Ovis aries: one gene and its partner. The protein of the gene in region 2 purifies or fractionates together with the protein of the main gene of each other region. This does not show direct contact. Links are inferred from orthologs where the notes say so. Each region holds a gene or a part of one and is shown on either strand. Other genes may lie near its edges. The genes, in order: STX12 and VAMP5.

Region 1 (3,809 bases), on a different chromosome or scaffold from region 2:
CCATTTCCTTCTCCAATGCATGAAAGTGAAAAGTGAAAGTGAAAAGTGAAAGTGAAAAGTGAAAATGAAGTCGCTCAGTCGTGTCTGACTCTTAGTGACCCCATGGACTGCAGCCTACCAGGCTCCTCCGTCCATGGGATTTTCCAGACAAGAGTACTGGAGTGGGGTACCACTGCCTTCTCCACAATAAAGCAGAAATAGATGTTTTTCTGGAACTCTCTTGCTTTTTCAATGATCCAGCAGATGTTGGCAATTTGATCTCTGGTTCCTCTGCCTTTTTTAAAACCAGCTTGAACATCAGGAAGTTCACGGTTCACGTATTGCTGAAGCCTGGCTTGGAGAGTTTTGAGCATTACTTTATTAGAATGTGAGATGAGTGCAATTGTGCGGTGGTTTGAGCATTCTTTGGCATTGCCTTTCTTTGGGATTGGAATGAAAACTGACCTTTTCCAGTCCTGTGGCCACTGCTGAGTTTTCCAAATTTGCTGACATTATTGAGTGCAGCACTTAAAAGAAAGGGTATTATATGGTAAATGACTAATAAGTGGTATAGCATTTACCTCAAGCAGAGAAGGAAGACTATGGCAGAAGAGGCAGGACTTAAGAAGCCATATACATAGAACAAACAGCCCAGTTTGGCTATAACGTGGATGTGATATTATGATTCATAATAAGAAATATGTATTTGATCTTTGTCTCAACCGGAGCACAGAGCTCCTAAAATTTTTTTCTAAGTGATAAAAGAGATAAAGATGTCCTTTTTAATTCAAAACAAACCCTTTCAACCACTCCTAAGTATGTTAATAGCTTGGCTTTTGTAAAAACCCCTAAGGATGGGGACTAGTTGCCAGGGGAACCAACCTGGTGTTTAGTTGATTGGAACTTTCAGCCCCAATTCCAACCTCTGGGGAGGGGTGGAGGGCTCAAGGTTAGATCAATCACCAAAGGCCAATTATTTAATTAATCATGCTCATGTAACCAGAAGTTCAGAGAGCTTCTTGGTTAGTGAACACATGGAGATATGGGGAGTGTAGTAGGCCTGGAGAAGGCATGGAAGCCATGCATGCGTGCATGCTCAATCATTTCAGTCATGTCTGACTCTTTGCAACCCTATGGACTATAGCCCATCAGGCTCCTCTGTGCATGGGATTCTCCAGGCAAGAATACTGGAGTGGGTTGCCATGTCCTCCTCCAGAGGATCTTCCTGACCCAGGGATAGAACCCATGTCTCCTGAATCTCCTGCACTGCAGGCAGATTCTTTGCCACTGCACCACCGGAGAAGCCCCATGGAAGCCATGTACCCCTGGCCATATACTTTGCCCTATGCATCTCTTCCGTCTGGCTCTTCCTGAGCTGTATCCTCTTATAATAAACCAGTAACCTAATGAGTAAACTGTTTTCTTGAGTTCTGTGAGCTGCTCCAGCTAATTAATCAAACCCAAGGAGGGGATCATGAGAACTTCCAATTTCCAACCTGTTGGTCAGAAGCACAGGTGACAACCTGGATTTGCGACTGGCACCTGAAGTCGCAGAAACGGGGGTCAGTCTTGTGGGACTGAACCTTCAATCTGTGGGATCTGAGGCTAACTCCAGGAAGACAGTATTAGAACTAAGTTGCACTGTAGCGTATCTTGATGATGTGGCAGAATTGCTTGATGTGGGGGGCAAAAACACATATTTGGTGACCAGAGTGTGGGAAGGATAGAGTGGGAGTAGAAGAGAAGCACACCGGAGTGTGTTGCTGCACTGTTAGAGCAGGGTTTGCATGTTAGATGCAGGAAATGACTGGACACGAAAGTGCAACAGCTAAGGAATTAGACCTTGATTCTGTTGAACGTGAAGTGCCCATGACACTCCTCTCCTCAGCTCCACACATCTCATTCTACTCTCGGCTGAATGGGATTTCTCATGTGAAAGAATCAATTAGATGATTAGTAGCAATAGATGAAAAAGAAAACACATGACATCTTTGAAGTCAAACTTCTGGCTTTCCCTGATGGCTCAGCCGGTAAAGAATCCACCTGTAATCCAGGAGACACAGGAGGTATGTGTTCAATCCCTGGGTTGGGAAGATCCCATAGAGTAGGAAATGGCAACCCACTCCAGGATTCTTGCTTGGAGATTCCCTTGGACAGAGGAGTCTGGCAGGCTACGGTCCATGGGGTCACAAAGCACAAGTACGAGCACAAGGATGAACTGTTTCATCAAAAAACAGAGGGCAACAACAAAATTCTGTAAAGCAATTATCCTTCAATAAAAAAAAAAAAAAAAGAAGAAGTATCAAGAGAAAAAAACAGAGGGCTCTAGGGAAATGTGTCTCAACCTTGACTGCACTTTGTAATCACCTGGGAAGTTTGTAAGATAAAAAATGCCCTCACCCAGGGCTTCCTGTGGATGTTTGTCCATTTTTAACCTACAAAAAAATAAGAAAATCACATGCAGTTCAAACTAGTAATTGGTGCGGGGATGAGAAGAGGTGGGGCATTAAAAAAAAAAATCTCCAAGTGATTCTAAAAGTACAGTCAGGGTTCAGAACCACTGCCACAGATGAAGGTCAAGGAGGAGATCAAAGTTTCTCCTCTCTACAACCCTCCTCCCCCCACTGTCCCCAAGATGGCAGTCTTCCATCTCCATGGAGAAAAGTACTCAGGTTTAAGGATATTTTACTGGTCATCATGCAAAAAATTAAAGTTGGAAACTCAGGTAAGAAAGGCCTTGAGACTTCTCTCTCAACCCTCACCTCAAAAATTGTTCCTGTTTCTCTGACTCACAGATGGGATATCCACAATTTGTGATTGGACTTTCAGATGCGCAAAAATGGAGCAAACTTTTTGGCCTATCTTTACTCTGGGTTATTCAGACTAAGCAAAGGGCTCTCCGTAGAGCCCCACCGAACCTAGAGACTGGCATTGAGGTTTGGGGACAAGGTCTTAATAAAATATTTGTTGGCCTTGTTCTGTTCTCCATGGGTATTCTCATGGAGACCTTATAAAATATGGTGACTGAAAAGGGGGTCCAGGTATCCTCAGGCACCATGACCAGTACCATCCTAGTGAAGTGTGAAAGTTGCTCAGTCATGTCCAACTCTTTGTGACCCTGAATCCTCTTTGTGGCCTGATTCTCCAGGCCAGAATACTAGAATGGGTAGCCGTTCCCTTCTCCAGGGGATCTTCCCAACCCAGGGATTGAACCTAGGTCTCCCGCATTGCAGATGGATTCTTTACCAGCTGAGCCATCAGTGAAGCCCAAGAGTACTGGAATGGGTAGCCTATCCCTTCTCCAGCGGGTCTTCCCAACCCAGGAATCAAACCAGGGTCTCCTACATTGCAAGTGGATTCTTTACCAGCTGAGGTACCAGGGAATCCTGATATGGTCATAAGAGTAGGTCAAATTCACCGTGATTACACTGACACATAATATGCAAACTGTACAACTCATTTCATCCTTTTTCATAATCAATGAGAGAAAAACCAGATTGCAGATACACTGAGTCAAACAAAAAACATGACCTGGCCCTCACCTCCAGCTGCCGAATCGCTGTCTCCCTCTCTTTAATAAGCTCCAGGTCCTGTTCGGTGATGGCCACCTCATCCTCCTGTCTCTGCATCTGGTTCCACTCCTCATGGCTGCAGGGAGACAAGCACATGGGCTGATTCCTCCCCGCAAAGGTGTACCTAAGACATATCATCTCTGCTGTCAGCAGAGCCTGTCCAAAGACGGTACCAGGCCTCCAACTCCTCTGGTAACAATACAAGTCCCTGGGGGTTACATTCTTCACATCCAGAGGCAAAGAACTGGTAACACCAAG
Region 2 (4,540 bases):
ACTTCATATATTGCTATAGCCCAATTTTCCCTAGTATTTTTTTTAAGCTGTCAGATCCCAGGAACCACACAATACTTGTGGTTAATAAATCCTCTTAGCCACAACTACTGAAGCCCACACGCCTAGAGAAGCCACCACAATGAGAAGCCCGCGCGCCGCAACCAGAAAGTAGCCTGCGTGAAGCAACAAAGACCCACCATGCTCAAAAAAAGTTTTTTTAATAAATAATAAAATAATAAATAAATGAATCTAAAAAACATTTTTAAATAAAACTCAAATATTTTTACAAAATACACAGCCAAGCAAGCTCTTCCCTATGGCCAACTTGTGCACATAATTGTCTCTAACCTATATATAGAACTTGACATGGGCCTTTGATAACTTACATCTAGTGCATTTCCATCAGGCCTTGCAGGCTGTTGAGAATGTTTTACATCTTGACAGTAATAAAAGCTCCCAATCAATGGGCACATACTCTGAGCTAAGCACTGAGCTGCTAGCTGACTGCTCAAATTTATCTCATTAAAGCCTCACAACAATACACTGAGAAAAGTACCTTTATCTCAGTTTTATAAGAAACCGAGGCTCAGAGGGGTTAAATCACCCAGCCAAGGTCACAGAGTCAGTGAACAGAAAATCTGGGACCTGAACCGACTTAGTCTTCAAGGATCACATTCTTAACCCCTGTGTTAAACTGGATGGTGCTAAAGGGAGGTCAAATGCTTTAGCTGACTGGCTAAAGACCCACCAGACCTTTTGATGCTGCCAACTCAATTTATGTGCAAATGAGGAAGGCCTGTGGCTCAAAAACCCAAATGGTTTGCACAGTGCATAAGTGAGGACCATCTACAAGATGAATAAATCAAGTCATTCCCCACTCAGTTTCTGCCTTTCCCATCAGTATTTTGTTCCTACCCTATTCCCTGTACCCATCACCATGACTAGCAAAGGAAATGCCCAACAAACCCTTGTTAACTGAATGAATCAGCAAAGAAAAGGACTTCCCTAGTGGTCCAGTGGTTGAGACACGGATTCAGTCCCTGCTCTGGGAGGATTCCTCATGCCTCAGAGCAACCAAGCCCATGCACCACAACTACTGAACCCCACACACCCTAGAGCCTGTGCTCCGCAACAAGAAGCCACCACAATGAGAAGCCTGTGCACCACAACTAGAGAGTAGCCCCTGCTCTCCCCAATTAAAGAAAAGCCTGAGCACAGCAACAAAGACCCAGAGCAGCGAAAATAAATAAATAAACATTTTAAAAAAAGAAGAAGAAGAAGAAGGACCAGGTAGGGAAGGACCAGATGGGAAGAAGAAAGGGAAAATGCTAGGGGTGGACAAAGGGGCAGGAGTGAGAGAAAACACAGACAGGAAGGGGCCAGGAGATGGTTGGGAGAGAGATCAAATCTCAGGCTCAGATCCACTATTTGCCTGAGATGAACCTGTGAGAGTCCCAGAGTTTTCCAGTACTCCCCAATAAATGATCCCATCCTCAGCCTTCATTTCAGGAGTTTCCTCTTCTCACCAAGTACTAAGGGCCAGCTGCAAGCCCATCCTAACCCTGCCTGATTTCTTGCTCTGCATGCTGGAAAATGGGCTCCAGGCTCTACCCCATTCTCCAGGCCTCCCTCGGTTTCCTGGCCCAGCCTTAGAGCTCATCGCTACCTTCCTGCCCGGCTTCCTCTTCCTGCCTCCAGTTCCCTGGAGATGAGGCCATCTTGGCATCTCAACCCCTAGCCAGACCACATCCATCACACCTCTGCTGCTTCTCCATGGCAGGATCTTTTTTTTTTTTTGGCTGCACCATGCAAGGATCTTAGTTCCTTGACCAGGGATCGAATCTATGCCCCCTGCATTGGGAGGTCAGAGTCGTAACTGCTGGACCACCAGGGAAGTCCCTGCATGGCAGAATTTTAAAGCGCTGAGCCTGCTTCCTGCTGGACACAACTTCCCCTGAGTTCCAGGGAAGGGGAGAAGCGACTGACACCACCTGCTTCTAACACCTTTGCCTTGGAAATGACAAGCAGGGACAGAGGCCAGAGTCTACAGCACGGAGTAGGGGATGACTCAACTCAAGAATGTGTCCTTAGGTAAGGCTTAGACGGGAGTCAAGCTATGCCCCACTGATAACTTCAGTGGAAATTTTATTGTAAACATCTTCCTTTCTCTTTCCCCAGGAGAAGGAGTTTGCCCTCCAACACCCTGTCACAGGGCTGGCCTGGCCTCTACCACCCCATCTGCTCAGGTTTCCAACTCCTGGGCCAGACTTGGCTCCTCACCGCCCCAGGAAGGGCTGCAGAGGTCATCATATTACCCACCACTTCTCAGAAGCAGGTTCTGAGCGCCAGACAGATCTCTGCCATTGTATCTCCTTCAACCTCCTAAGGACCCAGCCAGGCAGGTACTGCTGACCCCACTTCACCATGCGGAAAAGGAGGTTCGGGGAGGCTAAGTGACTTGCCCCGGGGTCACAGAGCGTCTAAGTGGCCGCCACCAGGACCTCAGCACAGAGTCTCACTCCGAAGAAAGCCGGTGCGTAACTGCTCGGCTCCGGCAAGTCCCGCTCACTCACAGGGCGAGGGGCAGCCAGGACCGGCAAGTTCCGTACTTTCCCTCCCGGGATGCGCGCGGGGAGCGAAGGGTCCGGACGGGTCCAGGCTCCGGGCCGGCCGTCGTCACCTCGCCGGGGAACGGGCGTGGGTCGCGAAGGATGCCCCCGCCCTTGGACTTCGGACTGCCGCCCAGCACCCCCACGCTCTCCCTCTGCCCCCTGCCCCGCTCCGGGCCCTCACCATCGCCGCAACCGCCTCGCCCGCTCCGGCTCTTCTGCCCGAGTGGCCGCAGTGCCAGGGGCCCGGGAGGAAGCGGAGGGCGGGGCGGGGCCTGCCCGGAGCGGGCGGGGGGCGCGTCTCCTCTGAGCAGCAACCGAAACCCGGCCAAATCGAAAGCTGCCGGCGATGGCTCCCGGGATCCGGACACAGCGCCTCTCGCGGTGCTGGCGGCGCCCGGCTCGGGAGGATTCCCCAGCCTCGTGAAGTGGGGTCTCCACCTAATCAGCTTGGTGCCAGATCTACACCTCAGGAGTCCTGTGTATGAAACAGTCGCAGTGGAGTGGGCTCGCGAACGCGGGCTCAGCGGATCCTCTCTGGAACTGCATCCAAATCAGGCAGACGAGTTCACCTGGAGTTCATCTGGACAGGCATCATTTGTTCATTCAACAGGCAGGCGCTCGACGGAGCGCCATTGTCCCGCGCTGCGCTAGGGGACTGCAGACGCAGTGAAGAGCCTGGCCAGTGTTGCTGCAACTCACCCATAACCAAAAACCGACCCCCACCCCTCCAAAGTTCTGAAACTGAATAAAGTTTATTCACAATAAATATCATGAATGCACTGCCTGACACTGGATTGTACATTTGTGTGTGTGATAGTTACACAGTCTGTGTCTGATTCTTTGCGACCCCATGGACTGTAGCTCACGAAGCTCCTTTGTCTGTGGGATTCTCCAGGCCAGAATACCAGAGTGGTTAGCTATTCCTTTCTCCAGGGGATCTTCCTGACCACTGATCAAACCCAGGTTTCCTGCATTGCAGGCAAACTCTTTACCATCTGAACCACCAGGCAAGCTCAGATTGTACATTTGAAAAGGGTTGATTGTATGTTTTGTGAATTTCACCTCAATAAGACAGACTCCAGTGGGGAAGGTGCTAGCCCTAGCTTTTTCTTTATTTCCTCTTCACCGCATGGGCCATGGCAGCCCTGCCCTGATAGGACCAGCTTCCTCAGTTGGAAGATGAGGGAGGCTGGTGTGTCTGTCTGTCCAGAGCCTTCCTGAGCTGAATCTGTCCATCTTCACCCTCTCCTTTCACTGCTGCACAGAAGCCAACACCAACCAGTTCTCTACCTGGTCTCGTACCAACCCAACATCTCAAATGTGGCCCCTCTTGAGGAAGAGGGTGTTGACTTCCCTCTCCCAGGTTGAGGCCCCTGTGAGCACAGACCCCACCCTCACCCTGGAAGGTCTAGGTCCCACTCACCCCAGTTGCTTGGACTTTGAGTCTAGGAGTGGACCGAGCAGGGAGAGGATGGACATGATGGTGACCAAGAGTGACCCCCCCCAAGGGCTCTTCAGTGCTTTCCTCCCTTCCTAGTTTTCAGAGTATGCTTCTAGAACTGGATTGGCCAGTACTAGTCCCCAGTCCTGTCTCCCAACCCCGCCCCTTCCAGACTTCTTCCCCCAGACAGGGCAGAGAGATGACAAGAACCTCCCCCCAAACTAAGATGCACTGGACACTGGAAAGAGTAACAGTGATGGTGGGACCTGGTGGGGAGGAGGGAGGCCCAAAGACAGAGAGGTCCATTGTCCAGGAGGGGAAGGAAAGCCACAGGCCCTGTCCTGTGACACTGACTGTGTCCAGCCACGCGACACGGTGAGAAATGCTCACCCCCTCAGGACTGCTAAGACCCAGAGGCTCTGCTAAGTTCCAGAAGGACAGTGGCAGACAAAAGACAAATAGAACTTGCAGAACCACAGGAGAAGGA

What was found.
Region 1: the proteins of VAMP5 (region 2) and STX12 purify together in Homo sapiens (affinity purification with mass spectrometry; 3 studies listed by BioGRID and IntAct, with this or other methods). This does not show direct contact. The link is inferred for Ovis aries from reciprocal best matches to the Homo sapiens genes VAMP5 and STX12.

What each region holds. Positions count from the first base shown.
Region 1 is NC_056055.1:239,290,583-239,294,391, forward strand, and holds part of STX12 (syntaxin-12), read right to left. Parts: intron 3,628-3,809; coding exon 3,522-3,627; intron 1-3,521. UniProt on the Homo sapiens protein: SNARE promoting fusion of transport vesicles with target membranes. Together with SNARE STX6, promotes movement of vesicles from endosomes to the cell membrane, and may therefore function in the endocytic recycling pathway.
Region 2 is NC_056056.1:57,427,644-57,432,183, reverse strand, and holds the start of VAMP5 (vesicle-associated membrane protein 5), read right to left. Parts: upstream 2,838-4,540; 5' UTR 2,794-2,837; intron 1-2,793. UniProt on the Homo sapiens protein: May participate in trafficking events that are associated with myogenesis, such as myoblast fusion and/or GLUT4 trafficking.